Linked DNA regions of Oryzias latipes. The protein of the gene in region 3 binds, or shares a complex with, the protein of the main gene of each other region. Links are inferred from orthologs where the notes say so. Each region holds a gene or a part of one and is shown on either strand. Other genes may lie near its edges.

What was found.
Region 1: the proteins of klhl12 (region 3) and pef1 are in contact, whole or in part, in a crystal structure (PDB 8RBH), measured with the Homo sapiens proteins. The link is inferred for Oryzias latipes from reciprocal best matches to the Homo sapiens genes KLHL12 and PEF1. Residues at the interface, in NP_067646.1 of Homo sapiens: Phe289, Gln293, Arg320, Tyr321, Leu371, Glu417, Tyr434, Ile439, Phe481, His486, Cys511, Tyr512, Tyr528, Leu533, Cys558; in NP_036524.1 of Homo sapiens: Gly15, Gln16, Ala17, Pro18, Gly19, Ala20, Pro21, Pro22.
Region 2: the proteins of klhl12 (region 3) and pleckstrin homology domain-containing family A member 4 are in contact, whole or in part, in a crystal structure (PDB 8OIO), measured with the Homo sapiens proteins. The link is inferred for Oryzias latipes from reciprocal best matches to the Homo sapiens genes KLHL12 and PLEKHA4. Residues at the interface, in NP_067646.1 of Homo sapiens: Phe289, Arg320, Glu417, Tyr434, Ile439, Phe481, His486, Cys511, Tyr512, Tyr528, Leu533, Cys558; in NP_065955.2 of Homo sapiens: Pro177, Gly178, Gly179, Pro180.

The regions. Positions count from the first base shown.
Region 1 is NC_019869.2:13,799,052-13,810,005, reverse strand, and holds pef1 (peflin), read right to left. Parts: upstream 7,086-10,954; 5' UTR 7,003-7,085; coding exon 6,982-7,002; intron 6,243-6,981; coding exon 6,038-6,242; intron 5,083-6,037; coding exon 4,927-5,082; intron 4,370-4,926; coding exon 4,226-4,369; intron 4,146-4,225; coding exon 3,916-4,145; 3' UTR 2,689-3,915; downstream 1-2,688. UniProt on the Homo sapiens protein: Calcium-binding protein that acts as an adapter that bridges unrelated proteins or stabilizes weak protein-protein complexes in response to calcium.
Region 2 is NC_019877.2:8,351,238-8,362,209, forward strand, and holds the start of pleckstrin homology domain-containing family A member 4, read right to left. Parts: upstream 6,371-10,972; 5' UTR 6,238-6,370; coding exon 6,194-6,237; intron 4,152-6,193; coding exon 4,082-4,151; intron 3,993-4,081; coding exon 3,894-3,992; intron 3,784-3,893; coding exon 3,711-3,783; intron 3,624-3,710; coding exon 3,523-3,623; intron 2,965-3,522; coding exon 2,846-2,964; intron 2,746-2,845; coding exon 2,154-2,745; intron 1,734-2,153; coding exon 1,674-1,733; intron 1,489-1,673; coding exon 1,363-1,488; intron 972-1,362; coding exon 912-971; intron 797-911; coding exon 716-796; intron 506-715; coding exon 353-505; intron 197-352; exon of another isoform or gene 177-196; coding exon 78-176; intron 1-77. UniProt on the Homo sapiens protein: Binds specifically to phosphatidylinositol 3-phosphate (PtdIns3P), but not to other phosphoinositides.
Region 3 is NC_019865.2:21,837,565-21,848,624, forward strand, and holds the start of klhl12 (kelch-like protein 12), read right to left. Parts: upstream 5,288-11,060; 5' UTR 4,936-5,287; intron 4,837-4,935; 5' UTR 4,780-4,836; coding exon 4,722-4,779; intron 3,523-4,721; coding exon 3,296-3,522; intron 2,883-3,295; coding exon 2,729-2,882; intron 1,100-2,728; coding exon 882-1,099; intron 1-881. Other genes in the region: ptpn1 (tyrosine-protein phosphatase non-receptor type 1), read left to right, coding at 5,667-5,723, 6,270-6,360, 7,134-7,234, 8,829-8,927, 10,596-10,733. UniProt on the Homo sapiens protein: Substrate-specific adapter of a BCR (BTB-CUL3-RBX1) E3 ubiquitin ligase complex that acts as a negative regulator of Wnt signaling pathway and ER-Golgi transport.

The DNA.
Region 1 (10,954 bases), on a different chromosome or scaffold from region 3:
GGGTCATGACCAAAGGAACGAGGTCCGGAATACAAGCGGCTGAAATGAGCTTCCTCCATAGGGTGGCTGGGCGCTCCCTTAGAGATAGGGTGAGAAGCTCGGTCACCCGCGGAGAGCTCGGAGTAGAACCACTTCTCCTCCACATTGAAAGGAACCAGTTAAGGTGGCTCGGGCATCTAGTCCGGATGCCTCCTGGACGCCTCCCTGGAGAGGTGTTCCGGGCATGTCCCACAGGGCGGAGGCCCCGGGGAAGACCCAGGACACGCTGGAGAGACTGCATCTCTCGGCTGGCCTGGGAACGCCTCGGGGTCCCCCCAGAGGAGCTGGAGGAAGTGGCCAGGGCGAGGGAAGTCTGGGCATCTCTGCATAGACTGCTTCCCCCGCGACCCGGTCCCGGATGAGCGGAGGAAGATGGATGGATGGATGGATGGATGGAGATCAGAGGATGTGATTAAACCTTAAACTCTTTAACACTCAGGATCATGATTCGTAGAGCAATCAAGCATAGAAAAACTATCAATATATTTTAAATAAAAAATAAAAAAACACAAATTATTTACATTTTTTTATTGCAAACAGCCGTGCATTTCTATGACATCAAAACAAAAAAAGATTTGTTGAAATTTGTTCATGAAGATTTTGTTTACAAAAGAAGGGAAATAAAACATTATTTTCCTTTCATCTTTCTGCCATTTGAAACTTTTCTTATGTCCTCCTCCAGAATTAAAAAGCAAAACTATATGACAGTAAAATGCATCATGTGACCTTTCGTTGTGTAATATTTGGATGACAAAATGCCCTTTGTGAGCATCAAAGTGCCTTCAGGAGACATTAAGTAGCTCTATTTTTTTGTGTTCATGTTTTATTCAAGTTAAATCCTTTTGTTAGCAGAGGAATGTTTCAGAGCTGCAGGTCAGCAGATGTACATCCTTCCAGTGAGCCTCCATTTGTTCCTGCCATTGCTGTTGCCGGGTAAACGTTTGTGCAGTTTGGCTCAACAGAAATTGTCAGAAGGGCAAACAACAGCTCTGCTCTAAGAAAACGTGGAATTTCATCACAAGAAAATTTGTTTTTAAAAAGAATTTCCTTTTTTTTATGTAAAAGCCTGAAAAATTATATATGACGCAGCTTTAGGGCATCATCGAAAATAATTGGTTGAATGCTGTAAAGCATTCATTGGTTGAATGCTGTAAAGCATTCACCCCTTTGTTTTCCTCTTCTGCTATCTTCCGCCGTTTTTGGCACTTAACTCCTTCTACAATTTTCAACCTATTTTAACCATTCAACTATTAAAATGTTCAGCTCTTTCAGCTTATTCCTGCTATGACTTTTGGTTTTTCAAATCCTTCAACTTTTTAAGATATTCCAGGATTTTCCAGGAATTTTTGCTCCATTAAAATACATGGGGAATTTTTTGTGCAGAAGTTCACAGTTAAACTTCTTCTACAATTTTTCACCTGTTTTAAAAATTCAACTATTAAAATGTTGAGCTCTTTCATCTTATTCCAGCTATGACATTCTGTCCTTCAAATCCTTGAACTTTTCCAGATATTCCCGGTTATTCCCGGATTTTCCAAGATTTTTGCTCCATTGGCCACACCTTTGCTTCTTTAAACCATTGTAACTTTAACATTCTTTTAGCTAGAGACACCGTTCCAACATTAAAATGCTCACAAGGCTATAAACTTCAACATAAGGTTCAACATTATCATGGGATGGCAACACACATACAGTTTGGCGGCCATTTTGTGCAAAAATGTGAGGCGATTTCAAACTCCTTCAAATTTTCACCTAGAGACACCGTTCAAACATTAAAATGATCACAAGCCTTTGGAATACAAAATAAGTTTAGAAATAATTATGGGATGTCGACACAACCTCCTGTTTGGTGGCCATTTTTTGACAAGTTCTGAGGTGACCATTGCAATAAACTTCTTCCATGGCTGGAACTGAACATATTGAAATTCACTGGATCTGCACATATAAGGAATGTGGGTGTGGTTAGCAAACAAACTTCGTTGCTAAGGACATCCAAAAGTTTACTTTTTCCGATTTGTCTGAAAATGACGTCGATTTGTTCGTCATCCCCAGGCGACCCAAACATAACATGGTTGCTATGGAGATAAAATCAATAGAAAAGCCGCCATTTTGAAAAAAGTGGATTTTCTATCAACTTAGAACATGTAGCTTTTACCAATATGATACTCTCAAACAATGTGTTTTTTGAGTCAGTTGATGATGCTGATGCTAGCACTTTTAGCCATTTTAGCATCATCTTCAAATTTTCAACAGTACATCCATTTTTTTCAACAATTTCAGCTTTCATGCTTAACTCCCGTCTACAAATTTTGACCTGTTTTGGTCATTCTACTTTTACAATGTTCACCTTTGACTTTTGGTCCTTTAACTTTTCAAAATATTCCAGGATTTCCAGGACAGTTCAGCCATTTTTCCAACATTTTCAGCTTTCATGCTTAACTCCTTCTACAAACTTTGACCTATTTTAGCCATTCTACTATTACAATGTTCAACTTTTTCAGCTTATTCCTGCTAGGACTTTTGCACCTTTAACTTTTCAAGGTTTTTCCAGTACAGTTCAGCCATTTCTTCAGCTAATTCAGCTTTCATTCAGCAGTACAGCATTCAACCCTGCATTTTCTTCTGGAAATGCAGCTCCTTCTAGTTTTCTTTTTTCTTCATAATTTTACAACTTTATTCTCGTATATTAATATTATTTTTCTTTCACAGTGGCACTAATACTACGTCTTACTAATAAGATGATATGTCCCTGAAATGTTACTTCAAAAAGAGATTAAATTAAAAAAAACAGTTTAAAAAAAGAAGATGTAAATTCTGAAAATATGTAATTTGACTTTATTTTAGAGTGGATTTAAATTTAAAGTATACATGTTGAAAATAAGAGTAAAAATTGGATTAAAAAAATTTGGATTAAAAAAAAAAAAAAATCGAAACTACCCAGAGTTCATTGCAGCAGGAGTTTAGTCTCCTGTCCTCTACAGTGTGTGAGACACTGGTATTTGGTCAGTTTTACTCTGAAAGAGGCATCATATAACCACAGAAATTTATGTACAATTGCTATTAGTCTAACCATTTTTAACAGCGAATATTAGCTAATAACAGCCTGTTATTGATCATCATCCCCAGGTTATCCCATGGTCCGGGTGAATACTCGATTCTGATTGGGTGCTGGGTGTGCATTAAAAAGTGATATACCACAGGATAACCGCACGGTGAAAAAAGAAGTTCCGATCACATAGTTTAAACGTTCTTTATCACTGCGCTGGCTTCTTTAAAATTTTAGCTTAGCTTCATCATCTGGACAAAAACAAGCGGTAAGAGGTGAACTTTCTCTCTGAACTGATGCTTTATTCAACTCATCGTGATGATCAGCATAAATATATAGCCGAATCTTGACTGCAGCGGTGGTGCGGCGCAACGCAGACTATTTGTTACTTTTTGTGAGAAAAGCGATCCAAATCGGAAAAAAACGAGAATTAAGGACTAAAAACTGGTCAATATTTTTATTGTTTTGTAAGCGGCCATGGTATAAGCGGGTTAATGGCCGACGAAGTGTGCATCATCACTTTTTAACGCACTTCGCAGAAGCAAGCGTCCTCCGCGGTTCAGGCTTCCATGGCGTGCGTTAAAAAGTGATGATGCACACTTCGTCGGCCATTAACTCTTACTTAACACCTTCAGGTGATGAATATTAGAAAGTAATAACAACCTGTCTATGATGAATTTCACGCTCATCTTTCTGCAGGAAGGGCTTTGTGGGGTGTGGGTTGGCTGTGCTTAAACATAGTCAGTGCAGCAGGCACTTTTGGCAAAACAGAAAAACCGTATCTGACGTGACTTGAGGGTTGCTCCCCGACATTGGGACAAAGACTGGTTTCACATGAGCCTCGTCATGGCACCAGACAGGAAGTCCTCGTAGCTGAGCCGGACGTTGCCCGTCATGCTTGTGTCTTTTTCTCTGAACTGCTGCGTCATGGTCTGAAGCTGGGTGCACACCTGGATGAAGCGGTCCAGCTGGATACCAGGACGCACGCCTCTAATGGTGAAGCGCTGCACCACAGCCTCAGAAAACTGGGGGCTGAGGTTGTAACCCATTTGCACTAAAGCTGTGGAGGAAAAAAAAAAAAATCAAAACGAGGATTTAGAAGGCAAAATGCAGGGCATGCTTTGCAGAAAGTGGGGATACCTTGGTGGAGCTCAGTGCCGCTGATGGACCCTGAGCCGTCTCGGTCGTACTGCTGAAACAAAGCTCGCCATCTCTGCATGTAGTCCCACAGAGCCGAGAAGCCGTACAAGTCTATCCGCCCGGACCGCGTCCTGTCGAACATGTCTGACGGTAAACAGTAGCACAGGAAGGAAGCGGAGAGAGAGAGAGATTGAGAAAAACAAGAACTTTAGGCTTTTTAAAAAGCATTTAAGAGAGTCCAAACAAATGCTTGCTTTAAAGACCCGCTCTGATGAAAATGTCGATTTTAAAATGTTCTTGCTGCATTTTTCTAATGATGGAAGACAGAAATAAACTCCCTGCTCCAAGGTCTTTACAACAGTGAAGGGAAGGGGGGGGGAGGTGTGCTTGCTCTGCGCCAATCGTCACGCCCACAACTCAGTTGCAAATTTCTGACAAACTCCTGCTCCTCTGCAGAAACTATGTCCTAGAAAAAGATTTTTGCCTAAAAACGGCATCATCATACCTAAAAGACCACAGAACGCTTTGAAAATGGATCAAACGATAATCAGAAAGGAACTTTGAATATCATTCATAAAACTGCTGAAACAGTGTCAATCTTGCTCACTGTCCGTTTCCCACCACCATTAAGACCTGCCCCCTCCTTTCATTGCATCCCTTCAAGTCATTTTCATTGAATTTCATGCAGCGGTGGGACTTACTGATCATCATGAGGCAGGTCTCGTCATTGAAGGTGGACCAGTTGGAGTTGACAAGCGCCTGCTTCAGCTCGCTGTGGTTGATGAAGCCGCTGCGGTCTGTATCAACACTCTGGAACCACTGGAATGCCTCGGGGTTAACCCCAGGGGGCGTGTTAGCTACACGGAGGGGAACACGAGTGACAGATGAATAATAATAATAATAATAATAATAAATTCACATCACAGACTCTTTATATTTGTGTAGATTTTTAAAAAAAAAGGGGCAAAAAAAAACACTCCAGCAGAGAAGATGCAATCATGCCACACTGCTAAACAATTATTATCTTTCAGACGAAGAAAAAGCCTTGGAGTGACAGCTGAAATGATGATCCATATAGACAAGAAAGGCTGTGTTTTGTAAACTGAAGAGGGCGCAGCCTTTAAGATTAAAAAGTCCTAGAAAAAAAGTGGAAAATAACAATTTTCTCCACATACAAAAAATAAAATCTGAGTTTTACTTTGTTAACGTCTGATTAAAAGTACAAAACAGATGTAAAGAGTTTCTAATATCCACACTCAGTGCCTCTGAAATTAAGGGAAACATGTAATTAAAGGTTTTTGAAAGATCAGCCCGGGAAAAAAACGAGTCATTGTTACCTGAGCAGACGGTAAGAAATGAAAGGAGCCCTTCAAAAATATGCTGCACAAAAGAGCGATGGCTGATTGTCAGAAAAATAAATGGGCAGAGATGGTGAGATGACACTTGAGGCCAGATCGTGATGGATTCTGTCCCCGCGGGGAGCGGCGGTAACACACGCTACCGGCTTCAGACTTGGGCTTAGTTGCCAATGGAAACTGTAATTACACATAAGCAACCCGCACGATCTGCCCATCTGTCTGTCGCCCTGTTCATCCCTCACTCCAGATTACCAGTCATCAGTCCAGCTATGAAGTCCTGCTGAGGGACAAAAACTGTCTGGGAACCCAAAGCTTTTTCTATCTATTCTTTCTGCCAGGTAGCAAAAAAAGACGAATGAGAGACAGAGTGTTCGTTATTGAATCCCAGAAATTCCCGTTGAGTCGATTCCTGCATCACTCTGGAAAAAACTCTTTAGTTGCAGTTCATTCTCACCTGCAGGAGCCCTGTAGCCGCCGTAAGGGCCGCCAGGAGCACCAGGTCCATAATGCCCACCCTGACTTGGGGCTCCATAGCCACCATAGGGACCTCCTGGTGGCCCCGCAGCACCTCCATAAGGACCAGAGGGTCGGGACCCATAGGGGCTGCTACTTCCATTGTACGGAGCTCCAGGTGGGGGATTACTCCCTCCTGGATAGCCCTGGAAGGCAAAGGAGATGAAAAGAAGCAGTAAATGAGAACGTGAATCAATACGACGATTATAAAGGTTAAAATGTATTCCAAAATAAAAGCATCTTTGTTGATATGAAACTGTAAACAAGCTGGTTCAATTTATGTTTCTGTTACACGTTTTATTTCAATATTTGAAAATACAGAAGAGCACATTATGATTCCACACATTATGAAAAATAATTATTCTTGACTCGTTTTACTAAATCCACAAAATAAACGACTATAAATTAACAAAAGGATAACCTAAATAAATAGAACACAAGCTCATTTTTTCCCAATGGGAAAACAACTAAATAAATTGCTTTTTTGGATAATCAATCAACTGCAAAGTTAGGTTTTACTATAATATAAAACAAAAACTGAAAAACAGCAGGAAACTTATCAAAGTCCAGAACAGAAGTGTCCATGCTAAAAATGATTCGGTCAAAGACTTGGATTAACAGATGACATATCTTCAAATACACTCGATTCTATTGTTACAATGATTTGCATTTATGAGTGAAATATGTTTTCTTAAAAATAAAAACGACACTTCTTCGAACTCGAAGCTAGCAAGCGTACTACTGTGTGACGAATGCTGACAAGGTAACGCCCTGCTAATGAAGCGAAATGCTACAAAGATTTAAAAAGTCTACCACAAACGATACCATTAAAATACATGAAGATGAAAGAAACAAAAACAATCAAAAAAGTTACAATTTCTGTACCTGACCGTAATGGAAACTCATGATTTAATTTTTTCCGTTGAATGACTCCACTTCCGCGAGGACCAACGGGTCTCAAGCCAGGGTAGGGCTCCTATTGGGTAATATCTATGTCAATCAACCCCACATTGTTTAGCGCGGCTGCTGATTGGTTAAAAAATAAAAACCCTTTGGCCACAGCGAGACAGAAAGCGTTTGTTTTACCCTCCCATTTTTTGACGTCAGGGTGATACTTCAACAATGAGTCACTCATCTATTGCGCTAAAAAGTTGATTTACATAGAGTATATTATTTTGAAACCAGTAAGGGAAGAATAAAGATTTTATTTTTGTACAAAATATTAGTATTATTCCAGATATAATAGCTGTGAGGAGAAAATGAATGTTTATAGATTAGAGACCAGGCCAGAAGCTTTTTTTTTGTGAAAATTTGCTAATTTAATGGGCAACTTTTGAATGTTATAGTTAGATTGGAGAAGAAAAGGGAGTCCACCGAGTTTAGAAAATATATAGTTTGGAATAAAATTCCATAAGGAATCTGGGTTGCTAAGAAATTTCTTAATCCAATTGATTTTAAAGGTGTAGTTTAAGGTGGTGAAATCTAAGACATTAAGTCCTCTGCGTCTATATTGTGTTCAAAAGCACTTTATCTTTAATGTAGTGAGTTTTATTTTTCCAAATAAATTTGTAAAGCATTTTATCAACGGTTTTACATGTGGATGCGTTAACATTGAGGGCAAGTGCTGGATATGTTAATCTGGAGATTCCTTCAGCTTTGGATAATAAAGTTCTTCCTCTTAAAGTGATATCTCTCTGAAGCCAGCGGTTAAATCTCTTTTTGGTCTTTTCAATTATGGGATTAAAATTTAGGTTTCATCTATCCTCTGTGTTTTTAGAAATCATAATTCCAAGATAAGTAATTTGTGATTTTACAGGTATACCATGTAAAACTGAGTGATCGCATTCTGAAATAGGTAAAAGTTCACATTTATTTATATTAAGTTTAAGGCCAGAAGCTTCTGAGAATTTATGAATAAGGTTGATAACAACGGGAATTTGATCTGAATTTTTCAGAAAAAGAGTGGGGTCGTCAGCAACTTGACTCATAAGAATGTATTTATCAGCGACTGAAATGCCATGGATGTTATTTTCCTGGATGAAAGCTGCAAGCATTTGTGCTGCTAGCAGGAATAAATAAGGGCTCACTGGACAGCCTTGGCGTACCCCCCTACCCACCTGAAATCTTGGAGACGTACCATATTTAAGTTTTATTGTACTGTTAGAATTATTGTAGAGAGTTTTAATAGCTTTTATAAAAAATGGTCCAAACCCAAATTTTTCTAGAGATCGATAAATGAATTCATGTTCTAGGCAATCAAAGGCTTTATAAAAGTCCAAAAACAGAATAAAACTATTCTCATTTATTAGTTCGGAATAATCCAATAAATCCAAAACTAATCTGATGTTATTAGTAATGTGTCTATTAGACATGAATCCTGATTGGGATTCGTCTATAATAGATGTTAAGGTTTGTTTAATTCGTTTGGCTAAAATTAGAGCTAATATTTTGTAGTCATTATTAAGTAACGAGATAGGTCTCCAGTTATCAATTTGTAGTTTATTTTTATTAGGTTTGGGTATTAGTGATATAACACCTTGTGTTAGAGTAGGGGGTAGTTTTCCCAGATTAATACTTTCAGTGAGCGTCTCCAGGATAAAGGGACTAAGTTCTGTTGAAAAGTTTTTGTAAAATTCACTTGACAATCCATCATTACCGGGAGATTTGTTCTTTTTTAGAATCATTATAGCATCTTGCACTTCCTCTAAGGTTATACTGGCATCACAGAGTTTTTTATGTGTTTCACTGATAATCTTACAATGTTTAATAGAATCTAGTAGCTCACGCGTTTTAATTTCTGAGTAATTAGAAGAGTAAAGTTTGTTGTAAAAGTCAGAGCAAAATGAGCCAAGAATTTTATGATCTGTTTCAATTTTGTTGTTAATTTGAAGAGACTCAGGAGGGTGTTTAATGTCATATAATCAATTTTTGACCACTTATAATATTCCAGTTACCCCCAAAGAGTTTGCAATAGTCATGGATGCTATTCCTAAAGGCGTTATAATGTTATTTAAAGGTATTGTTCACCCTTTGCCCTCACATTCAGTCTCTTTATTTGAAACAAATATTGGTAAGACCTGCTTTACAAGAACATCTACAAGAAATAAAAAAATAAGATCACTGTTTCAGAAAGATATTGCAGTTGTACCATATGTGACCCACTATTGGAGAAAATTTGCCCCAGATATTGAATGGAAGAAAGTTTGGACTTTGTCCTCTAAATATTTTATTTCAAATAAACCCCGGGATGTTTGTTTTAAACTTCTTCACAGATGCTACCCAGCCAAATCCTCACTCCACATAGACATTGATAAAAACTGCTCCTTCTGTAAATTAGACACTGAAACAATTATACATCTTTTCTGGAAATGCCCCCCAACAGCAATTTTTTGGAAAGACTTCACCTCCTTCGTTCGATGTAAAGTTTATGAAAAATTTGATTTGGTATACAAGGATGTATTATTTGGTTTTTATAGTGTTAATAATTCACTAAGAAGGGAATACTATTTAATTAACCTTTTGATAATACTAGCCAAATTCCACATACATAAATGCAAATTTTCTGAAAAAAAGCCCTTATTCAAACTTTTTATGATTGAGTTAAACCAATATATCAAAGCAATAAAATATTCTTCCAACCCCAAAGCTATAAGAACGTTTGAAACCCTGGAATTTTTTAAATGTACAGAATAGCAACTTGCTGCTTTTTCTGCTCTTATTTATATTTTTTTTTTTCTCTTTTGTTCTTTATGCTCCCCTGGCACATTTTGTTACTCTTTGTTTTGTCTGTGTACTTAAAATTGACTTGAATTTGTATCTTGTATATCTTCAATAAAGTTAAAAAAAAAAAACTCATCTATTGCGCCTGAAAGTTAGGAGACCTGCTAGGCTGTAACTACAGTATTCCAAAAATCCCTTTGAAACTGTCAAATTTTCATCAACAGGTTCTCTTAGCCTGGGCACTGATCTGCAAACACAACTTTTTCCACAGAGTTGTATTATTTGCAATACCTGTAATATTGTCTATAAATACAAAACTCTGTTTTTAAGTAACTGGTTTAATAATGGTATAATTTTCCTCAATCAATTATTCAAAGAACCAGGATTATTACATAACCACTCAGAATTCACAATGCAGTATAAAATACCAATAACCCCCCAAAAATTTGCAGTAGTGTTTGATGCCGTACCGTCTGGGCTTTGCATGTCATTGAGGGATTTCTACAGCGCTCCTCCTCTAAATCCTCCTGATGCATTTAAATCTCCTCTGGGTAGTTTCTGCTTCACTTCTGCTAAACAGAGGAACTCAAAAATCAGAGCTTTGTTCCAAGATCATTTGGTTTCTGTTCCATTAGCTACCTTTTATTGGGCTAATTTCCCTTCTAACATTGAATGGAAAAAAGTCTGGTCTTTACCATAAAAATACTGCTTAACAAATAAAATCAAAGAAATGTCTTTTAAACTCCTACACAGATTTTATCCAGCAAAACATTATTTAATTAGATTTAATGCTGACATAAACACCAGCTGTACTTTCTGCCAGAAACAACCTGAAACCTGCTCTCATTTATTCTGGTCTTGTGAATTCACATACAAATTTTGGAAAAACATTCACAAATTTATCACAGACTCTATTTTTGTTGATATACAACTTTATTATAAAAACATACTATTTGGTTTTCATAGTTTTGAACTCAAAGACCGTGATGCTTTCTTTTGTATAAACATGTTGCTATTTATGGCTAAATTTCATATTCACAAAAGCAAATTTTCCAATAAAAAAACCTGATTTCTTTGTGTTTAAATTGGAACTGCAGCAATATTTAAACTTAATTTCCGCTTCAAAAAATATAAAAGC
Region 2 (10,972 bases), on a different chromosome or scaffold from region 3:
TGTAACCAAAAGATCCATTCTGACCAAATGCCTTCATTTAAGCGTTTGGAGATTTCCGGTGTGTCATAAAAAGTTACCTGTGGCATTCCAAAATTACAGATGTGCTGCAGGTGTGAACGGATAACAGACAGTTCACTTTCCATTCTCTCATACTGACTCCACACCCTCTCCATTTCCTGAATGTAAAAGTAAAAAGGTTTGTGCACAATCACGATAAACAAAAACAAAAAAACATATAAAAGTTGAATATTTTTTTGTCAAATTTTGTCTTGATTGAAATTACGAAGCAGATTCAACAGAAATAAGTACAGTAACTTTAATTTTTGTTCTTAACTGTTGTTTTGTTACACACCAGTGACACATCACACATTCTCGCCCGGATCGTGACCAGCTCATCCTGTAGCAAAGCTTTCTGGGTCAGAACTTCTTCAAGTGCCCGTGGCCCCTGGTTCTTCCAGTCTTCCACCTGAAGTCGAGAAACTTCCAACGCACACTGGACACTGTCCTGAAACACAAGAAACCTCTTATTTATCATACTTGTTCTCTCTTACATTAATTATCAAATTGGAGAAAATGTCTTCTTCCTTTTATATTTTTCTTAAAATACGTTTGACTTTTTTCATCCTCTTAGCTTATCTATATACTAAATTAGCTTAATTATTTTTTCCCCAGATAAATAATATTTTCAATTTGTAAATACATTTAATCTACCAACCTTATCAATTTGTAGCTGAGCCAGTTCTCCGGAAAGAGACTGTAACAGCTTGTCGCACCCACACAGCCTTGTCAGCACAGCCTGAAGAGCAAAAATCCGACTCATCTTTTCTCAAAAAGAAATGTGTCATTCATTTTTGAAGGCTCCACTGCATTCTGGTTAATTTCCAGTCGTGTCTTAGGCAGACATCACTCACATCTGCATCGCTTTCAAGTGGACGGATTGGAAGCAGTTCCCTCGGGTCCGGATTTGAGGCCTATGAAATTTTAAAATGTATTGTTACAGTTTTTTCTGAAATTTCTATCATTAATAATACAAATGTGTATTCGATAAAGAAAAACTTTATTGATTTTTTTTAGAGAACAGAACACAAGCTGCACAAACTTGAGTAAGCCACAACCACATTTTAAGTTTATCCCTCAACAAATTTAAGGAAATAAAATGAATACAACTACTAGTAAATACACTGAATTCAATTACCGGTACATCCTATACTTCCAAAAACAAAAAATGTGATTAGGTTTTAATAATAAAATAAGATTAGACACAAAATATAAAATAAAATCTATTTTAGCACAAAGTAGCATTAAATTGCACTGAACATAACGGCACGAGAACAGAGCACAGATCAGCCAGCATGTCTGTACCATAGCTGCCGGTAGCATACAAGCAGATACGAAGCTGCGCTGGTGGTGTTGTTGTGGGTGAAGAGCATGTGCAGCTCGTGATGAGGGGGGTAAAGGGGGCAGTAAGTCTGCACCAGTAGAGAGGCTCTAAAGGAAGATACAGCAAGTATATAAAAAGAAATCCTCTCATGCTTGACTGAACGTACTGTGCATTTGTGCAGCGTAAGTTAAAGCATGTTTGAATTAACAGTCAAATTATGAAATAGCTGCACAATTTCTGAAAATTTTTGAATGAATGTCTTTTATATTATTGCATTATTTTAAATAGTCACCTTGCCCAGAGGCCTTCGTCCACTAGCTGCATGGTGGACAGCCCCGTATATGGGTGCAGGCTTTGAAGAAAGAAATAAAAAACAATCAATCTGATAAAATCGTAAAATTACAGATATCTTGTAAGATTTATTTCTTTTAAATTTTTTTTACTTTGTACAAATATTCAAAATGAAGAATGTGCTTTGAAGAATGCTATAGTAGATGAAGTATACTGAATTAAAGAGTTTTCTTAACCTAAGTTGTGCAGAACAAGTAATTTTTCAAGCTGCCCACCTTTAACATATACAAGCCTTTTTACCACATTTTCAAGTCTCTGATCGATTAATAAAGACATGTTTAGCTTTTTATGGTACATTAGATCAAACTTGTACATATTATGAAACTGTCGTTGAACCATATAAGGTAGCCAAACAAAGTAACAGCAAGAAAACTTGATTCAGTTTTTGTGTTTTCCAAACTTCTAAAAAATAAGTTCTCACCTTGGTTTGCCACCTTTCAGTGACTGGAGTGGTTGGTGCAGATTTGTATTCTGGCTTTGGTGAGGCAGGTGCATAGTACAGGGTCTGCTGCACAATAACTGGGTCATCACGGGGGCGAATGTCAACGCGTCCCATGGGCGTATGAGGTCGTGACCCCAGCTGTCCTCTTGATGTTAAAGAATTTGCTCCACTGATTTCTGTTGGCATTGCTGTGTTTTCATCAGGAGGAGAATCCTCCTCCATGTTTGGACCTGCAGCTCTTCTGCTTGAAACTGTAGGGCTTGGTGTTCGGTTTGAAGGGCTGTGGAAAAACCAAAATATGAAAATTGAAAGCAAACTTCTTTTGCTTTGAAGTGGATGATTTGTCATCCGCTTTACCAACCTTCTGTTTCTGTGATGGATGTTCCGCCTGCCCCTCTGCTCCGAGTGTGACCTCCCCACTCTTCCACCGAGGTGGCTCGGTTCACTCAGGGTTCTGCTGACATGCTTGTGTTTTTGAGAGGGACTCAGTTCATCTGAGGGAGATTTGGGAAAATCTACAGATTCTGTGCTGGCACTGATCAAGGTAAAATCCTGATAACTCGAGCAGCGCCTGTAAGGATCAAAAACAACAGAAGGTTTGTTAAATAACAATCATAGACATTCTCTTTTATCAAGGAAAAAAAAGTCCCCCTCACAAGCGTGAGCTGTACCTATTAATTGTGGCATCCAACTCCATTGCAGCAGATTGACTGAGGGCTCGAACCCAACCCAACATGTCCTCCTGAGTGTCAGCACTGAAGAAGTAGGAGCGCATGCCCTGATGCACCACCTTTAGGACAGATGTACAAAAGAAAATAGGCTAAATGAAACTTATCACTGATAAAATACATGTTTGCTGCCCCGCGCTCCAAAAACTACTCTTATTTGCAAATATTTGCTTAAAGTTACCTATTGATTTTAGGAAAGTCTCATAGTTTGCCTGGTTTGGCCTTAGGTTGGCCTGATTATTGGTCAACCTGTCCACATAGGTCTCACAGCAGCTGGGGTAAGGATTTTAAAATTTGGATTTGCAGGATTTTTACCCAAACTCCAATTGACTTACAGAGCATTAGTTCGCCTGTAATAATGGATTCTCAGAAAACATTTCCACCATGAAACATTCCTGACTCATGCAAAGTACAGTAGGAGCTCCACCAAGAGTTCTCAAAATATCCAGCAATATTTTATAAAAATTAGGAAAACATTTCAAGACCCATAAAAAGCGTGAACTTTGCAAACTTTCTTAGCTTCCAGGTTTTAGAGCTTCACAGCCTTGGGATTTCTAACGCATACACATTTAGCATGGACTTTGATTCCATAACAATAACAATAATAACATGCAGGATACCTTGAATGTAAACTTTCTGTTTTTGCATTCCCTTGGTGTGCAGAACAGGATTTTGTAGCTTGGTAGAGGGATGCTGCCCAACACCGACTCTTCTCGGCTATCTGAGGACACAAACGCAGTGTGAAGAAAAAAAACATTGTTCATAGTTTTTAATTAAGATAGAAACATCCAGCTGTCACCGCTCCTACCTTTATAGTAATAGAGGCAGTAGTTTGAGAGCACAAACCATCTTCTCTTCCAAAGCTTCAGACCAGAGCTATCCTGCCAAAAAGACAGTTTTTAAGGTAAAAATACAATATGGAAACTTTCAGACTGTTTCACATGAAATTTGTATCATTGTATGTTTCATTATAATTATTTAAAAAATGTACTTTTTTGTTTAGCCATCCCCTAATGACCACAGGACAGTTAGGGTCTCTTTTGGCAGCCTGACATCTCTTCCCAAACGTTTGAACCTTTCCATCGTTTTCCTGTTTACAACATGACACAGAATTAAAAGCACACAATGACACTTGCATTTTCTTTAGAATAAAACAAATTCAAAAAAAGGAAAGCAAACCGTCATGACAGGAAAGTAGGAAATTGTGGCCACACTAGATGCTTGGCTCACTCTGTCCTGGTCATCCATTCTACACAAAAACATTCAGAAAAAAAGTGTCAAGGAGTGAAAAAAATTCAGAAAAGTGAACAAGAAAAATATTTTTTCTTAGTTGCCAAAGATAGATGAATCAATTCCCCTTTCTAGCCACATGTGTAATAAAACAGAAGTTCCTAGCAGGACTTAGCAACAACCCCCAGTTGCTACCCATATACCGTACAGTAGGCTTGTTTTTGCAAAGATATAAGACCTTACCAGTGCACTCTCTTCTTGAAAAAGCAGCCAGTCACTCCCAGCATTCCCAGGAACATGCATTGCATTCCCATAATGTTGAGATTTCTTTTCTTCTTGTTCAAAAATTCATCAATTTAATGTGGTGCTCTCCCACTTGCTGCAAAACTCTCCCACAATTCTATTCTGAGCCATAACAGGCCAGCGGACATCCCCACCATGGAACTGACAGGTGACAGCTGCGTCGCCGTGGTAGCAGGGAGGGGCCCCGAGTGTGTGAAACTAATCTGGCAGTATGGGGCAGGCTGGTATGAAGAGGCAAGGTCCGAAATGTTTGCTAGACTGCAGAACTACATCGTGTGGATGGAAGAACTAAAATGAAATTGTATGCTGTGAGGACAGAGAAGTCGCATATTGAGTTCATGTTTTCTCTTAAAATTTAATCAGCTTATTTGCTATAGTTCCATTTGTCTCATACATTAGGTATCTGTCACTCCTATATTCATATATAGGGATAATTTATGTGAAATTTTTCTGCCTTGTTCTAAAAATTAAAAACTATTCCCCAATAAATGTAGAAATATAACAATTTGATAAAATGAAACAATTAAAAAATTAGTCCAAGTGAATCTATTTTAAAAAGTAATGTTATTACCTACTGCAATTGTGAAAGAATATTTTGTGAGGGTAGTCAATAAGCACTCTATTTAAAAAAATCTGGACTCGGTCTGATAAGAACCGGATTATGACAACTATGTCAAAATATGAAATGTAATAACCCAGTAGGGGTAGGATTGTGTTATTTTGTTTCTTCCCACTCTTTTTCAAGCAATAAATCAAACTCTACTTGACTTTAGTTACATTTGATGAATCGAATGTAACCTAAATGTGTTTTTTATGTATTACTGCAAAAATCTGTATATATGATTACCAATATTCCTTCTTTGTTATATCTGTGTCATTTTTTTGTTATAATGACTACAATTAATACTTCAAATAATCAAATCAAATCAAATCAAATCTTGAAATTTGTGCTTTTTTGACCTTTGTGACACACAAATGAACCCATAGATAAGAACATCATGAGAGTTTTCCCACACTTGCCACAGGGTTTGGTAAGGTTTGGCATCAGCAGTCTGAGTCTAAATCAACCACAATCTCCAACCCGCAAGCCTCGGAGTAAAAAGGATAACAACAATCGCCTCTTTGTGAGGAATCTGAGGCAATGAACATCTCTGAAGCTGCTGGGGGTTCTGTGGGTGTTGGGAAATATTCTGAAAATCTCCTCCTTGATCAGAGAGGGTTTCTTACTGAGAGAAGTTGGGACTTAAAATGCTAAAGAGGGATGTTGGGGAGGACAAACGGAGGGTTTGTGTATGACACAGAGTGAGCTTTGTGACGCCCGAAGACTCTGAAATGTCATGTGAAGCTGGACAAGGATTATGTTGAATACATTTGCTGGGAAAATAATACTTTTTGTCTAAAGCAAACATTTGCATATCTTTGACTATCTCACAGTCAAACAAAAGGCCAAAATGAAATTGTCCCTTATGAGAAAAAATTGTGATTTGAACACCAATCCACTGTTAAAAATAATAATTAATGATTTTACACAAAGTAAAATAATAATAAATGAGGAAGTACAGCCTCACATGGAAAAAGGGTGCCTGCATTGTTTCAGGCAGAGATGATATATCATATCAGCACCTTTGCTTCACAGTACTATGAGATACAAGCACCAGGAACACAAACCAACTAAAAGTGGTTAACAAAAAAAATGAAAGATAAGTTATTAAAAATGACAATGTTGATTATTTTAAAAGCTGCCATAAATTACCATACCTTAATAGTTTAGCTCTCCTGCTGTCTACTTTCAGATCCATCATTGGTTTTCTTCCTCACAGAATCCTCTGGTATGGCTGCCTTTAAGCCCCTGTTTGCCTTTAGGCACAACTCTCCTGTGCTATTCTTTCCATGTACTGATGAAGCTGTCTGTCTGCAGCAAACAGTTTGACTTTCTTGAGATGTGGAGTGAAATGGGTGTTCTACCTACGCTCCTTTGCTTTTCTGTTTTCTAACAGTGAACTCTCTGTAAGCCTCTTTCTCATCATTCCTTCTTTGTCTCTGTCCCTCCCTCTTCTACTCTGTCTGCTCCTGATAATCTGTTAAAATGAAGTTCATCTTGTAAGAACTCTTTTCAAATTATTTATTTATTTGTATTTGTATTATTTGTATTTTTCTGTTTGCTTTCTTACATTGAGTTTAGAAGTCATGGTTTTCCATCAGAACATGAAAAAAAGGACATTTCGTTGAAATATTTTCTTGTTTTTAGAGGAATTTGACCTAAAATGCTGTAAATTTGAAATTGGGTTTAATACTTATTTAACATTTGACATAGTTACTCATTAAAAATGTCAAATATTTTTGAAAAAAGTAAAGTTTAAACAAAGATCTCTAAATTTAAACTGGCGACACTATAAATGAACTGTTTAAATAAATGTTTGTCTTTTCAGTCTAAGTAAGCTTTTTGAGATTTATGTTGTCTTCGTAGAGATTATTAAACTCTGGACTCATTAGTATTCAACTGCAACCTCCACTGACCAACTCCCAAGGGTACAAATCTAAATGCAGAATTAGTTTGCTTTACTGACAAAAGGTAAACACAATTAAGAATAAAAAGTTTTTTTCTTAATTACAGACGCCTTGTTTTAAGTTTTTTTCTATTTTTTTTTTGCTATGTGAATAACTGATGAAGAAACTTTTAATAGATATGCACTTTATTTCATTCAATGAAAACTGTTACAAACTAAGTTTTTGTTAGAACACACTACACAATATAAAAACAAAGTCCTTGTTACGGCTGTGTCCGTATTTGGCCCCAATGTTTTTACTGTACGTCCTTCATCTGCATGTAGATTTTGTTAATGTAATTTTTTTGTTTTATAAAAGATTTCAGTGTATTTATGTCGGTCTGTCTCCTTCTTGCTCTCTCATTGTTTTAGTAATTAACTGATCTCTTTTGGCTTGAATTAATTCTCCTGTGATTTTAAGTTTCTTTGCTTCATGTTCTTTCACTGCTGTAATGACTAACATATCTTTTCTGCTCTCTGGATTTTCGGTCCGTTAATTTTACCCTGTTCTGTCAATGCTACAGTTACTGATGTCAGAACTGATTTTCCACTGTTTTTGTGCTTATCTGTCTCTTTTGTCAAAACCGGTTAGGGCAGATAATTGGTCTCACATAGCCTGCTTTTCCAGGAGGTTTCTTTCTTTTTTTCATTCAGAGGGAACTGTACTCTCCATTGCCACACCTTGTTTGGTTACTGTGAAGAATTACTCCAAAAACCTTGACAGGTATATAGACTATGATTAAAATCATTAAAAGACAACATTGAAGTTACAGGATATTTGTCCCATGAATTAGGAACTTGTGCTCCTGAATATGTTCATCACACAAATAAAGGGGATTTAATTCACTTGACTTGTCATCTATTGTACGGATTAATGTGTTATAAAATACTTAAGTGCTTTCAGTTAAAAGATGTTTTTTTGCCAAAAGCATTTTTTGAGGGGGTGAGAGCAGATAGCTAGCAGGCCTCACGAAAGCAGGCATTACCAAACCACCAGAGGAAAATATCAGAAGCATTTTAAGAGGTGGATAAGAAAAGAGAAGTCAGGTGAAAGGTTAAGTTCTTTCACTGAAGACCTGCCTAGTGGAGGTTAAAACACTGAAATGTTTACAAAATGCGGTAAAAGAAAATGTAATTCTTAGTCAAGTCTAAAATCTGTGCCTGCAGTTTTATGAACCCTTACATATTAACAAAATTCAGAGGACTTATAAATGGTTTTAATTACTGATTAACCTGTGCGCAACCTGCAGATCGGAAACTTTGCCTGTTTAAAAAAATGGAGTTGATGTTTCCTCGCGACCCTGAAAGTGACATAGCTGGTTAAGAAAATGGATGGATGGAATTCATACTAGTCTACGTTTATGTAATAAAGTGGTTCACATCTCACTGTAGAAACATGTTATCAGAACTACAAAACAGTTGTTTATTACAATTTTGACTGCAAAAACAGGAATTGATAGTAACTTTTTAGAGTTAGTAGATTGAAGGAGGAATCAAATTGACTTGAATTTTGATAAATTAAATTTTCTCTTGAGTTTAACACAAAGTCATGTGTGCCTTTATAATAAAGGATCTTTGTATGCATCAAACATCCAATCTGGAGCTCACTCCAAAAGTTAAGGAGTTAAGTACACATTACATACAAGTGAATAGAAATTAATGTTTACATTTGCCTTTAAAGCTCACGTGCCTTGGATGGACCACTTGTATCCTGGATAGGCTTCAGGCACCCTGTGATCTTAAACAGGATGGGTATAAAAAACCGAGAACAGATGGATAAAAGGATTAATTACCTTGACATCCATTCCTCCCTGGGTGTGTCACTTTCATTATCATTCTCTTTGGGTTGAATCGGTGAAGTAAGCTTTAGGATGAAATCTATTTTTTTCTATTTGGCAATAAAGAGGCAAATAAAAAAACAAATACATGGAACTATAAAATCTGGCACTGATGTTTAAAATCCATTTATTTTGTGTTCTTTTTTTGTGATGTACTATCTAAAAATATGCAGCAGGTGGCGGTGTTGAAACATTTTTTTTCATACATCTTCTGACACATTTTTGGTTCCATTAGGAATTCACGTAGCAAAAGTCAGAGTTTTGACAATTTCTACATAAACAAGAAATAATGAACTAACAAAAGTACTACTACCAACAAATGCACGTTTAATATTTTTTTGGGCAAGTAGAGGGAAACCAAGTAAAAAGGCTTTAAAACTTTTAGATTGAGAAACAAACCACTTCAGACCTAGATAAAATCGTCAAAACTGTTATTTTCTCAAATTTAAATTACGTTTGACTTTTAATTAAGTTTGTGGATGCATTTTTCAAAGAACTGTTACAAATTGGTCTCTTGTATAAGCAGACATTTGTTTGTGTTTGGAACATGTGTTTGACAAAAGCAAATCTGCTGAACAAGCACACCGGTGGAAGCAACGTATTATTAATTATGAATCCATGTTGGAATTTTAAAACGCGCAGCAGTACCATCTCTGTTAATCTGCTCGACCCTTGATGGTGGCTGTGTTTCGCCTAAGGATGTCAGCGGGTCAAAAGAGACGATACCATGGGAGGAAATGATACGCTATTTCTGATCCAGCCTTTCAGTGCAAACTTCCCAAGGTGCAGCACAAATGTAAACATCAAACTCGTAAATTTTGTATGAGGAGAAGCTGGTGACACATTATTCATCTAAATTTGTAATTGCAAATTTAGATGTTCGTTTACAGTGCACATGCACACATCACTGAACCCCCCCTGATGACATGTGACACTGCGGTGAAGGTATCACTAGTGCAACTTTGGTCATGGCACTGCCTATGAATTACAACCATTTTACATGCCTGACATAAGTGAAAGCATGCTTTGCTCATGAAGGAACAGCCTGAACACAAAGCTAGGACACGGTTTAAAGTGTGGAAAAAAATCCAGAAATAGATGACAAGAATACCTCCTCCAAATCAAAAATTATGTGTGCTAGGTTGCCAATTTATTACAAATTGTCTTTCCTTCTCGGCATAGGACAATCAACTGTACATGTTTAGCCAGTCTTTGAAAGTTTGCAAAGAAAAAAAATTATATCATAGATACAAAAAAAAGGATGCACACAGTTCACAGTTATTTTTTAGATTTAAAACAAATTAAAGTTGTTTTTCTGCTTTGCAGCTTTTATTAAAAAACTAAAGATTGTTTAAGTCATGATTTTCAAATATTTTTTTTAATATGTATTTTAAAAATCTTTAAAAAACCTAACAAAGTTTTTTTTTTATTGTCAATTTGCTTACATCTCAGGGCAAAAATGTATTTTATGATTTAGAATAATGAAAATAGTTATGTGGACATATTTATATAAAAATGTATCAGTTTGAAAAAAATATTTCAATCAAACCGTGATCAGTTATTTTAAGTTTGATATTTCTATAAATAGATCTCTTTTGTCTGTTTTTTTTCGTGTGTTTTCGTTTTGATTGCTTGAAATATAAATTCCAAATCAAAATCTCACTTTATATATCAAAGTGAAAATTAAGAATTACTTGTTGAGTTTTTACGAAAAGATTTTTTTTTTTAAAAGGGGTGGATTTTGACTCCAGAGGGGTCCAAGGGTATCTGCAGCAAATGGAGAATAGAGTTTGATTGTTTATTATTTCTGTGGGGAAAACGATAGCTGTCAGAGTGCTTGAAATATTGTCACAAACATGGTGTGTGATTGTTTACTGTAGCCTTATTTAGTAAATGTTGATGGGCTTGCCCGGTGAAGGTGACAGCTGCATTGTGAACGCCTTAACAGTTTGCTGTTGTGACCTACTTTCATACAAATTATCTTTGTATAAAGTGTAAACATTAATCGTTTTTTGTATAATTTGTTTTTTAATCACTTTAAAGTCATATAAACATTTATAATTACTTATTTGTACTTTTATATTACAAAAAAAGTGAAATTTTACATATATTAACCCTTGTGCTATCTTATATGACCCCACCCTTACATTGAC
Region 3 (11,060 bases):
AATAATTTTCGAAAAAGTTCTCCTGGAAGCTATTTCTTTTTTTTAAACTTTTTTTTATTTTTTTTACTTATTAAACTTTTTTTTTTTAGGGCAGAACGATGCCAAACTTTATTGCAACACATCAAGCTATTCTGCCTGTAGTCCACTAAAGTTAGATGTTTCTGGTCAACAGTTGTGGTGCTATTGTCATATTTAAAATGGACTATTTCCTGACTTTTGTACTATTGTCAGCCTTTCAGTAACTTAAGAAAGAATAAAGGGATTTCTATGTACACTTTGAAAAACATAATCGGCATAAACAAATGGTGGGTCTTTACGTTTTGAACATAAAAGAAAAACCTCAGATCACAGCAAATTATGTGCGACTGTTTTTGAATCAGCAGTCTAGTTTCTAAAACAACAGAAATGACAGGACGAACAATTTGACACAAATGACGCTCTATAAATCATCGGGTGATAATAAGCAGTGTTTTCACAAAGCAATGCATGGGGTTTGGAAAACAGGAATTTTCTGAGTACAAAGGCAAACTTAAATCAGGTTCACTTCTCTACAATTTCACTGTCAGACCAGTTAAAAAACGGAGGGGGGGGGGGTGACCTCCATGAGTTTACTGCAGGTTTGTGCTCGCTTTACTCTTGTCTTATTTAGGTGTTGACAGACAATAGAAAACTGTGAAAGACGAGCTAAATTCACGCCAAGCTAAGCCAGTCCTGAGGAAACGTAATTACAATAATGACTTCTTCAGTGGTGCAGACGATTGAGGTGAAATGGGCCGTTTGTGGCACTCTTTCGCCGAAATGTTTCGGAACATCTAAGAGTAAAAAAGTAAATAGTAAATTTAAAAAGACGGCACAAGGCTGCAGACATTTGCTTTCCTTACCTGGATTTCGTCACATTTTATGAGCTTTTCAACTTCTGTCTGACTCAGCAGCATAAACTCCTCGTGTTGAACCACCTCAGAGAAATGCTTCTGTGAGAAGAGCTCAGCCGCCTGCATCAGGTCGAGGCAGTTGTGGGTTTCAGCAAAATCTCGAATACCCAGACAGTTGGAGGGATCCAGCTGGCTCTCCAGAAAGTCACAACAGGCCCTTTTCACTCCTGAGGGAAGAAAAAGAGCCAAGCACAGTTGACAAATTCACTTTAAGTATCATTTCAAGGAAAACAAACACAACAAAACAGGATTTACACTGTTTATTTCGCATGTCTGACAATTTGTGAAAAGACAATAAGACTAAATAACTTTAACAGACTCCTAATGACTTTATATTAGAAGACAAAGACAACTAACTACACCTTTTAAAAGCAAAATAAAGAATCTTAAATGTGACTTTTGCGCACAATCAGACGTTGCAGACAACCAAAAAAGTAATGGTGATGCAGACTCCACAGGTATGAAAGCCTGCTCACATATGATGCATTTTTAGTTACTTTGGTCAGTCAGGACATTTAAAAACAAGACAAAAAACAGAGAAACAATGTTTCTTTGGTCAGTACAGTGTTCCTTGCTATATTGTTCATCTTTGTGTCTCTGCTTGGCAGAATGTTTTGGTGCATGTTTGAGTGTCTTTTTATGTATTCATTTTTTTAAAGAGCAAATTGTGTCCTGCTTTCTTCACATAAATCTTCAATGGCAATCAGATAATTTTATAATCCTGGACTAATTTTTCTATAAAGATCTGAATTTTGAGAGTTTAAACAAGAGACACAATTGTGAAAATGTTCACGTTGTCTGAGAAAAGTGAAGAAAGTGTGTAGTGACAATCTATAACGATTGTAAGAAAAAGACTAATGTTGTCGATTGTGGGCTATTATTACAATGCAAGTCTTGTGATAAACGAGGGAACATTGTACTGATGTTTAATTAAATTCATGTTAATGTCAATTGATTAAAACGTAAAAATCCAAAATTAAAATGTGAGCTTCAGGAAAATAGAATTTCAAGATGTAAAAGCTGCTTTTTCTTTTTCTTTTTTTTTTAACAGCGGCTACTTTCTGCTCCATAGACACAACAAAGTTATAGAAGGGTATAAACTATATGTGGAGCTGCAAAAGTTTCAAAAACATTCAAATGTTCCTTAAAATGACAGAACTATAGGTACAAATGTGTTCTTTGGTAAGGCTAGACCTTGCAATTGTTCTTCTGGGTTCCTGCAAATCATTTTTCTTTTTCTTTTTCACTGGGATTTCATTTTTAGTCGCTTGTTTTTGGCATTTAACTAACATTTAAACTTCTAAAGACTATAAAAGATGTTTGTTTTTTCAATAAATAACAAAAAAATAATCTTGTCACTTGAAATTATGAGATTTACTTGTGAATGTTTCATCCATCTTAAACAAATATGGAAGGACTTTATTCTTGTTTTGTTTCTAATAAAGAGGTGTCTGTTATTCTGTTTTTGAAGTTTACTCCAAATACAAATACAGAATACTAAAAACAAACTAAAAAGAAAGACACACGTCTGGGTACTTTTAAGAGAATTATAAAAAAAAGTGAATGTGTCTTATACCTCTAACCCCAATAATGTTTTTAACAACATTTATTAACTTTCTGTGTGTCCTCCATCTCTTTTTCTTGTATTTTATCAGTAACAGCTCCTAGCAAGTAGAGCCAGCCTCAGCTATTTTATTTCATGTCTGTTGCATTAGACAGACGATAAATATGTCACTATAAAGCCTGTTCTCTGGAGAATCTTTATATTTAGCCATTAGAACAGGCATTAAAATTACCTTTCAGCTGAAGCAAACAGGCTGCAGGGAGTAATTCTTGAACATTTTCCACCGTGACAAGCACCGTTTCTGTGTAGACGAAGTCCAACAAGATCTCCATGGTAGATGCAGTCAGTCCTTGAATGTCAACAAAAGACTTCCCCTTTTCTGCAAGCTGGAGGACCAAAACAAAGGCTTAACTGGATGATTTTTTTTATCTTTAAGCTGTAATCCTGTACTTTATGGAACACATAACAGATGTGGGGCTAAAAGGGCAAAAACTAAGAAAAAAAAGTCACTTTAGAAAGTAATATACTACTTTGAAAAGTTTTATTGTAGTTTATCTATATTCAGAAAAATGTTTCTCATATTTCTGAGACTGCCCTCAAGTGGCAGGAGCATGCTACAGTATCTTTATCACATTGAATCAAACTCTTTTTGTTTAGTTTAACATTTTTTTTAAGCAACATTACTCAAAACTCTGAAACACATCAGTTTAATCAGTATAATGACATAAGAAGTACATTTGACACAGATGGTGAAAAACAGGGATTGATGATCAGACTGATGAAGATGACAGACTATTACCTCACTAGTAAACATGGCACAGAAATAGTCACTGCAGGCTGCCAAGACAATCCGATGGGCGGGAAAATCTGTATTCTCAACCCTCAGAGTGATGTCGCAGAGTGTGTTACTCTTGCGAAGCGAGTTCATGGCATTGAGAATGGATTTGGCGTGGGAATTGGTCATGATGTCTTTAGGAGCCATGTTGCTTTGAGAATCCCTCAAGGACCTCAAACTTCCACAAGAGTCTAAAGGAATAAATACAGAAAATCTCTGTGAATACGGCATCTCATTGAACATTCTCTTTTAACAATGTGCTCCTGCAGCCTTAAAAGACATACAAAAACAACTGACACAAACAAAACTGCTTTAATCAACGTGTCTTTGACAAATTGGCCGTTTTATTATTTTAAATATAAACGTTACAAACATTCGAAATATAAAATGTTAGTGGCTTAAAGGGACAAAGATGATCACTGTTCAGACCAGGAGTCTGCAAACCTTAATGCTAAATAAGTCATTTAGTCCAGTTCTTACCAACCAAAAACCACAGAGAGCCGCAAAGTCCCACTTCATTGTTTAGAAACACTTACTTAGGTTTTTGTGGTCATTAAGCTGTTTATTTATAAAAAATAATTTTTCAGTAACAATTTTACTTCTATTACTTTTAACAGCATCACATTCAAGTCTCTTTCAAAATAAAGTACACCCTAAGTTAAAAAAAAAAGATCCTCCTGCTGCAGCAGGTTTACTTGGATCAAAAATGCATTATGTCAAATTTGACATCTGACTTTAGTGCACCATAATCCTTTTTCCTCTTTTATCATTGAGTATCAACATGACAACATTGGTGTAAAATCCCTTTTTTAATGCATACATACACGTGAATCCAATCATATACTTTAAAGACTGTATGAACAGCTACTTGCAGCAGTAGATAATAGGTGCTTTGATCTAAATTTAGTAATAAACCACTCTGACACTAGGATTTGGTAAGTTACTTGACATGTTAAAAGTTTAAACATAAGACTTAAATAACTAAATCCAATGAGTGAAACTACAAACCCATCTTTTAATGGTTAGCATTTTCTTATAAACCACGATAGAAGGATTAAAAAAAGGGCTTAGGAGTATGATGAATGAGGCTGAAGACAAAAAAACAGAGAACCAAGGAGAACAAACGTACAGTAAACACTATCAAGCACTTTCATTCATTTTTGAGGCAAGCAATTGTCTATATTTAGTCGGCCGCGGCAGACTAGCTAATTTATATTAGTATACAACTGCAGTGTCATATAAAAATCAAGAACAAAAAACATTTTTATTCACTGCAGTTTTTCCCACAATACCCGATAACAAAAGACCTTCCCCGGTTTATAACCACGATATTAATGTTAAATATGATCCCTATTAACACTGTGACTTTAGTATTGCTAAAACAACTTACCGTTAAAGGACCTGAACACTTTTTCCACCACTGGGAGGCAATAACTATAGCTACACATGGGCTAGCTAGCAGCAGTAGCCAGCGACAGCTGATGGCTAACATAGACAGACAGAAACTTTGGAAAAGAGAGCCACATGAAGTACACTGACGGCCAGAGTGAGACAGCACATAAAAGCGACACACAGTAAGAACTTCGAAAAATTGTGCGTAATACCTGTCACTGCGGTAAGGCTGATTCAACCCCTACACCTAAGTTGCTTTCCTAGCTACTGTACTAGCCTTAGCATCAAAGTCTGTCGTCCCAGCTCGTGCTGTCCGAAAAATAAATAATTACTCCATCACGGCATGATTTAAGTCAGCCTACATGCGGCTTCTGGAAGGACTTTCATGAACGAAATGTTAAAAAAGCCCCATGCTATGGCGCTAAGCGGTGTTTACAAGCAACACTTTCGTTGCTCAAACTGAAGCTTCGACCCCCTCAGATTGGACGTAAACAGACCGCTACGTAAATGTACGTGCGCGCTCCCCGTCAAGCCGGACGCTCTTCTTTCCAGAAACAAGATGCCTTCGGCGCGCACTCGCCTGTCTGTGTTACTCCTGTGGGGGTGGTAAAATGACCGCTTAAAAAGGGGAAAGAGTTGCATTAAAAGTTAAAAATCGAGTTACATCGCCAAAACAGCCAAAAGCAGTTGTTTTACTGGAGCCTAAAAACTCACTTTACTCTTTTTTAGCCACCAAGGACGTCAGCTACACGGTAGGAGGAGCTAGCAGCGTGTTTCCGCTCAGCCGCGGTATAATCTATGCAGCCGTACTAAGAATCGCAACGGCCAAACACTTGGCAGCTAATACAGGAAACTGTTCAAGTTTCATTCGTTTAATCTTCGCTGTGTTGTCGCTGTCGCATCATTGAGGAGAACAAAAAGACTGTCCGCTGGATCGTAAGCAATGGAAGCCGAATTTTTAGAAATCGATGAAAACGGGAGTTGGAACGCCATTTATCAGGTAGGAACTCTCGACATGTCAAGGTGGAAAGCAGCAATGGGTGAAGCTGTCACTTTTTGAGCCAACATTTTTCTCACTTTCGCCACGATACATGAGCAGAGTCGTACAGTTCAGTCCCCGTGTTTCTCCGTATATTTTTTTTAACTAACCGCCGGCTTTGTTCCCTGTGTGGCCGGTCCATGTTTTTTTTTCTTTCTTTTTTTTCCGCTTGGTGCTCGGACCTTTTTTTTGTTGATGGATGTGTCTGCCCGGGTCCTAAACCGGCAGCACGTCCCATGAGGCAATTCAACACATGTCATTTTAAAGCTTTAAATTATTTTTGCACCATAGCTGTTAAGTTTATGACACTTTCAGCGTTTAAAAAAGCATTTCTCAGAAAAAAATTATTCACATTATTATTTGAGAAGGATTGATAACTGTTATATGACATATTATTGATCGTTTTTTCGGAGTATTCACACACTTATGCAGTTATAAAGGACAAAAATGGCACCATTAACATTTTGACAATGTTAAACAAATGTGATTGTTTTTTTATCTTAACAGGAGATTCGGCAACAATCGTGTGAACTTCCCTGTAAGATCGCCAAGTTACCCGAAAACAAGAATCGGAACCGTTACAGAGATGTCAGCCCCTGTAAGTAACGCCTCACACATCACAACATTACAGAGTTTTTAGATGTTTCATTTAGGGGTATGTAATTTAATCTACAGCCAATATCAAATACTATAATGTTATGTATAGCAGTGTTTATCAACACATCCATCTATTTAGTCAGTGGTTGCATCATTGGTAATAATGGCTGCATTCACCAGCTAATATAAAAGTAACTGATTGAACAAAATGTTTACCTTAGCTTCTGATTAACTTACAAGCTTTCCGTCAGCCTAAATATATACATTGTCCATTTAAGTATAAAAAGTTCTCTTGTTTTACTCATACATATTAAATATAGATGGGTAAATTCCAATAATATTAGTTAATTTTGAACAGATTACCAAATATTTTTGGTGAAACTAATCAACCAATCAAAACTGTCTTTAAAAAAAAAATCATTTTGGAGGAACTATTCAGACAATGCATTCAAAATGTATTATAATAAATGAAATATAACCTCCCAGTTCAAGAGCTGAACTTCAGTGGTTTCCTCTTTTTCACATTAAAGAAGCTATGCAAATTGTGAAGCATATTTTTGCTGTTTGTATTCCCCACCTTTAGTCAGACGTGAAAATGGGGAACCTGAAACCAGTTCACGCTGTTTTCAGTTGTGCTCTGAGGTTCTGTCGTAGTCACAACGCTCACTCTCAGTTCAGAAACTCCGTGACCGCTCATTTTAAACCTTTGGAGAGCCGTGTTTTTTTACCATTTGTTGCTGATTTAGAAATACAATTGGACGTCCTTCTCCGCAGTTGACCACAGCAGAATATGCCTGCAGCTGGGTGCAAATGACTACATCAACGCCAGCCTAATAACAGTTGAAGAGGCACAGAGGAACTATATTCTTACTCAGGTATGGAAATATTCCCACAGAGTTAATGTCAAAATGATTACAGCCATGATAAAAATATCTGTTTTAACAAGACTGATATTACAGAGCAGGAGTTTCCTTATTCCTTAACAAAAAGTTTAGCTTGGATTGTTTTAAGGATGTCAAGAAGCTTTTATCCACTGTCTAACATAACTGTCTTTGTATTATTTCTAGAATCTATAGTATGTGTGTGAAAGTAGATTTTAGACCATTTTTAAAGCATTGTAACTGATAATAGAACAGGAAAGTCAGTAAGCGTGATTTAAGGCGTCCTGCGTTTAGCCTGTGTACATATCTAGAGACAGACGTGCTGACAAAACGGCAAAAATGTTAGATTCCAGTCACTTGTCAGTAACGTAATGCGACATGCACCAAACAATGGTTAGAGATATGTTTCCTCTTGTGTGAAAAGGAATACCTGCAAGGGGCTGCTATGGTTCATAAATCATTAGGGATGCACTGAATACTTTAAAACTGAATATATTTCAACGAAAATCGCAAAAGAAAAATAAAAAATAGCCACATTCAGCCTTTGGTGGGCTCAAAGTTTTGTTACTTAATGTGCATCAATGATCTTGTTTATTGTGTAAAATGTAAGTAGTGCAGAGGTATTTTAAGAACTGCAGTTTGCAGCAAAAGCGTCCAAAATTTCTCCAATTTTTATAAATATAATGAAAAACTCAACATCCACCTTTTATATTCAGTAACTATTTGGTGTTCGGCCAAGCATTTTCCTTTCTTTGTTCTGCTTCTGTCACAATTTTTTCATTTCTGTGCATCCCTAATAAACATACTTGCTTTTAAAAAGTCATGGCGCTACTGTCCTGGAAACAAAAGCGTGTGAAAAATGCAATGTTTTGCCCTATAAATGATGGTCACACGCCTGAAGAGTTTCCATCTCTAGTAGGAATGGTCTAGGCTGGCGCATCAGCGGCATGTCTTCTCGTAAAGGATCATCTACAAAGGCTCGTATTATTATTTATAAGAGAAAATATGTTTATTGCAAAATATCAAAAGTGGCCGATTAGAGGGAGGTGGAGTTACTTGGTCTAATTGCTGCTCTGTGATTGGTCCAGAACTTTCTAGTGTCAACAAGACTTGTAGGTTTTTTTTATGATCCCAACAACTAGAGATGTTGTGTAAAAGCAAGTATGTGTTGGTAAAAGTTTTTGGTTTATGGATTGAAACATAAAATACTTTAAAATGCTTTTACATTTGAATAAAAAGGACTAAAAGAGGGGAAAAAAGGACACATAAAAAGACCCTTTTTGTGTTGGATTTATGAACATTTGATTCCTTTTAGACAAATACAGTGAGGTTTTTGTTTTTTTTGTATTTTTATGTGATGAAAGCTCTTGGAAACATTTCCAAAGAGGTTTTATGTTCTTATGTTTTGAACAGTCTCAAAGATAAAGCCATAAGTGGTTGAAGCAGCTTTTTTTTTTTCTTCTTCTTCAATTATTTTCTTTTTTGAAATAAAACTTCTTGGAAACTACTCCAAAGATGTTTTATGTTCTGAAAAATCCCTAGTATAAATATAAAGACAAGTGGTTAAAGCAGCTTTTTTTATTTTTAGGGACCCCTTCCAAGTACATGTGGTCACTTCTGGGAGATGGTGTGGGAGCAGAGGAGCCGTGGCGTGGTGATGCTGAACCGAGTCATCGAGAAAGGATCTGTAAGTTGGTGTTTTCCTTCATCCACAGTGGTAACCGGAGCCCTTTTTCAGACACTAGAGCTGAATCACATGGTCTGACCAGGAAAGGTCACCACCTGGATTTAACCAGGCATTTTGGGTAATCGTTTCACCTCAGAGAACGGCTGCACGGATTATGTTTCAACTTAAGTCGAGTTATTAATTTGACCCCAAGTGAAGCAGTGAGAAGCTTCTGGTTTCAACAGAAAGAAGGGTCTAAAATATTTGTTAAGTGGCTTTAACAAAAAAAAAAACCCCACTGGAGTCACGCTGATCATTAAGGAAAAATGCCAGTTTTCTAAGAAGATGAAAGATTTATCTCCAGGGAAAAAGAAATGAAGTGATGCTGTCTGATGGATCCAGAAGAACCTGTTCCATTGGGACGGAAGACGCGCTGCAGTTGTTCAGGTTGAGGTTCAGCATCATCAATAAATGAGGTTGTGATGACAATGCTTCCAAAGATGACAATGCAGGGATTCACCAAATCCTTTCTACTCATGAATTGAGCTCCACTAAGTCCAGACTGTGGAGAATCCTTGGGATGTGTTTGAGAAGACGGCCTGTTGCTTGATGGAACTCAGGCAGGAAGAAATGTGACTTTGCCGAGGTTTGTCAAAATGATCATGGGGAAAGACGGCTATAATCAAAGCTAAAGGTGGTCCAGCAACATATGAATGGTTTAGTCAACCTGTTTCAAACTTCATAGACTGCTGTCCATCAGCCTGAAGATGTTTCTTTGCTCAAACTCAGCTGGCTGTCATTATCGGGGCTCTGCAGGATTTCACGATTCAGATGCCGTTTAAGCTTAAGTCACATGCACCTGGACAGGTGCTGCCGGTTTTTGGGTTGTCGGCGTGCGTAGAGGGTTGTGGCGGCTGCATCTTAAGGGGAGCACAGGTGTGTCGTGTAGTTCCCTGGGGGGACATCATAAAAACGTATGACTGCCTTGTGGTAAGTGTATTGGGATGTATTTGTAAGGTAAAGGTAGTTGCATGACTCAGACAACAGGTGATACAGATGCCCTTATGCCACACTAGTCATCAGTAGGGTCAAACACAGGCCACTTGCTGGCTGCGCTCAAATGCGGCACGCATGGGGTGTAGGTAAGTGCCTGTAGGACTGTAAGTCTGTATCCACCCAGAAGGGCAGTTGTGGTTTCCAAATTTGACAGCCAGTGAGTCCTAACATGGTTCCCCCTGGATTCATTAATTCAACCTGTGGAAGTTTTGTCTTTGCGTATCTGTGCTAGATCAATCGGTAAAGTTTATTCACAAAGATTATTTAGATTTTTAGAAATATTACAGCATGTTATCATGACATTTTAAACAAGTGTGCAGAGCACTTATTTGTGTAAAATGACGAATGGCAACGCCTCAAATTGTGTTTTCTCTATCATTTCAGCAAGTTTGATTGTTTTAGCTGACACAGCTAAAACAACTACAGCACAGCTTTGGAGATCTAATCACTGGTTCCACCTAATCAGATGCAGGGTGAAGGAAAATGTGGACAAAACTGTAAAATCTCCTTCTAGATATTAAAAGCAGTTTTTCCCAATAAATACTGGAATAACGGTTATCGTTCATCTTCCCTGAGAATTGCACTGCTTTTCCTTTTTCCTGTTGTTTATCTTTCCTTGCCATGTGGTTTCAGATTAAATGCGCCCAGTATTGGCCCTACAAAGAGGAGAAAGATGCGATCTTTGAAGACACCAACTTCAAGCTGACGCTTGTCTCAGAGGACGTCAAGTCTTATTACACAATCCGTCAGCTGGAGTTAGAAAACCTGTCGGTAAGTTTTCTGCCTCGGTTTATTGCCCATTCATAAAACACATATGGTTGCACAACTTATATTGACTGCAAAAAAAACCATTTTCTCTCTTAAAAATAGGATTTTTGGTTAAACCTCTGTAATTTTCAGTGAATTTCCCGATAAAAATGTTATTGTGAACTATCGTTATTGCTCCCTAAAGGAAAGTTTGTGCTAGCTTTCTATATTATTGTCATTTGGGAGTTAAGATGTAATAAAGGAGATTGATAAGTTTACAAGAACTGCATGTCAATCACAGTTTAAAGACCCACTCCGATGAAAATTGTGCTTCTGCTGTTTGTTTTTTTT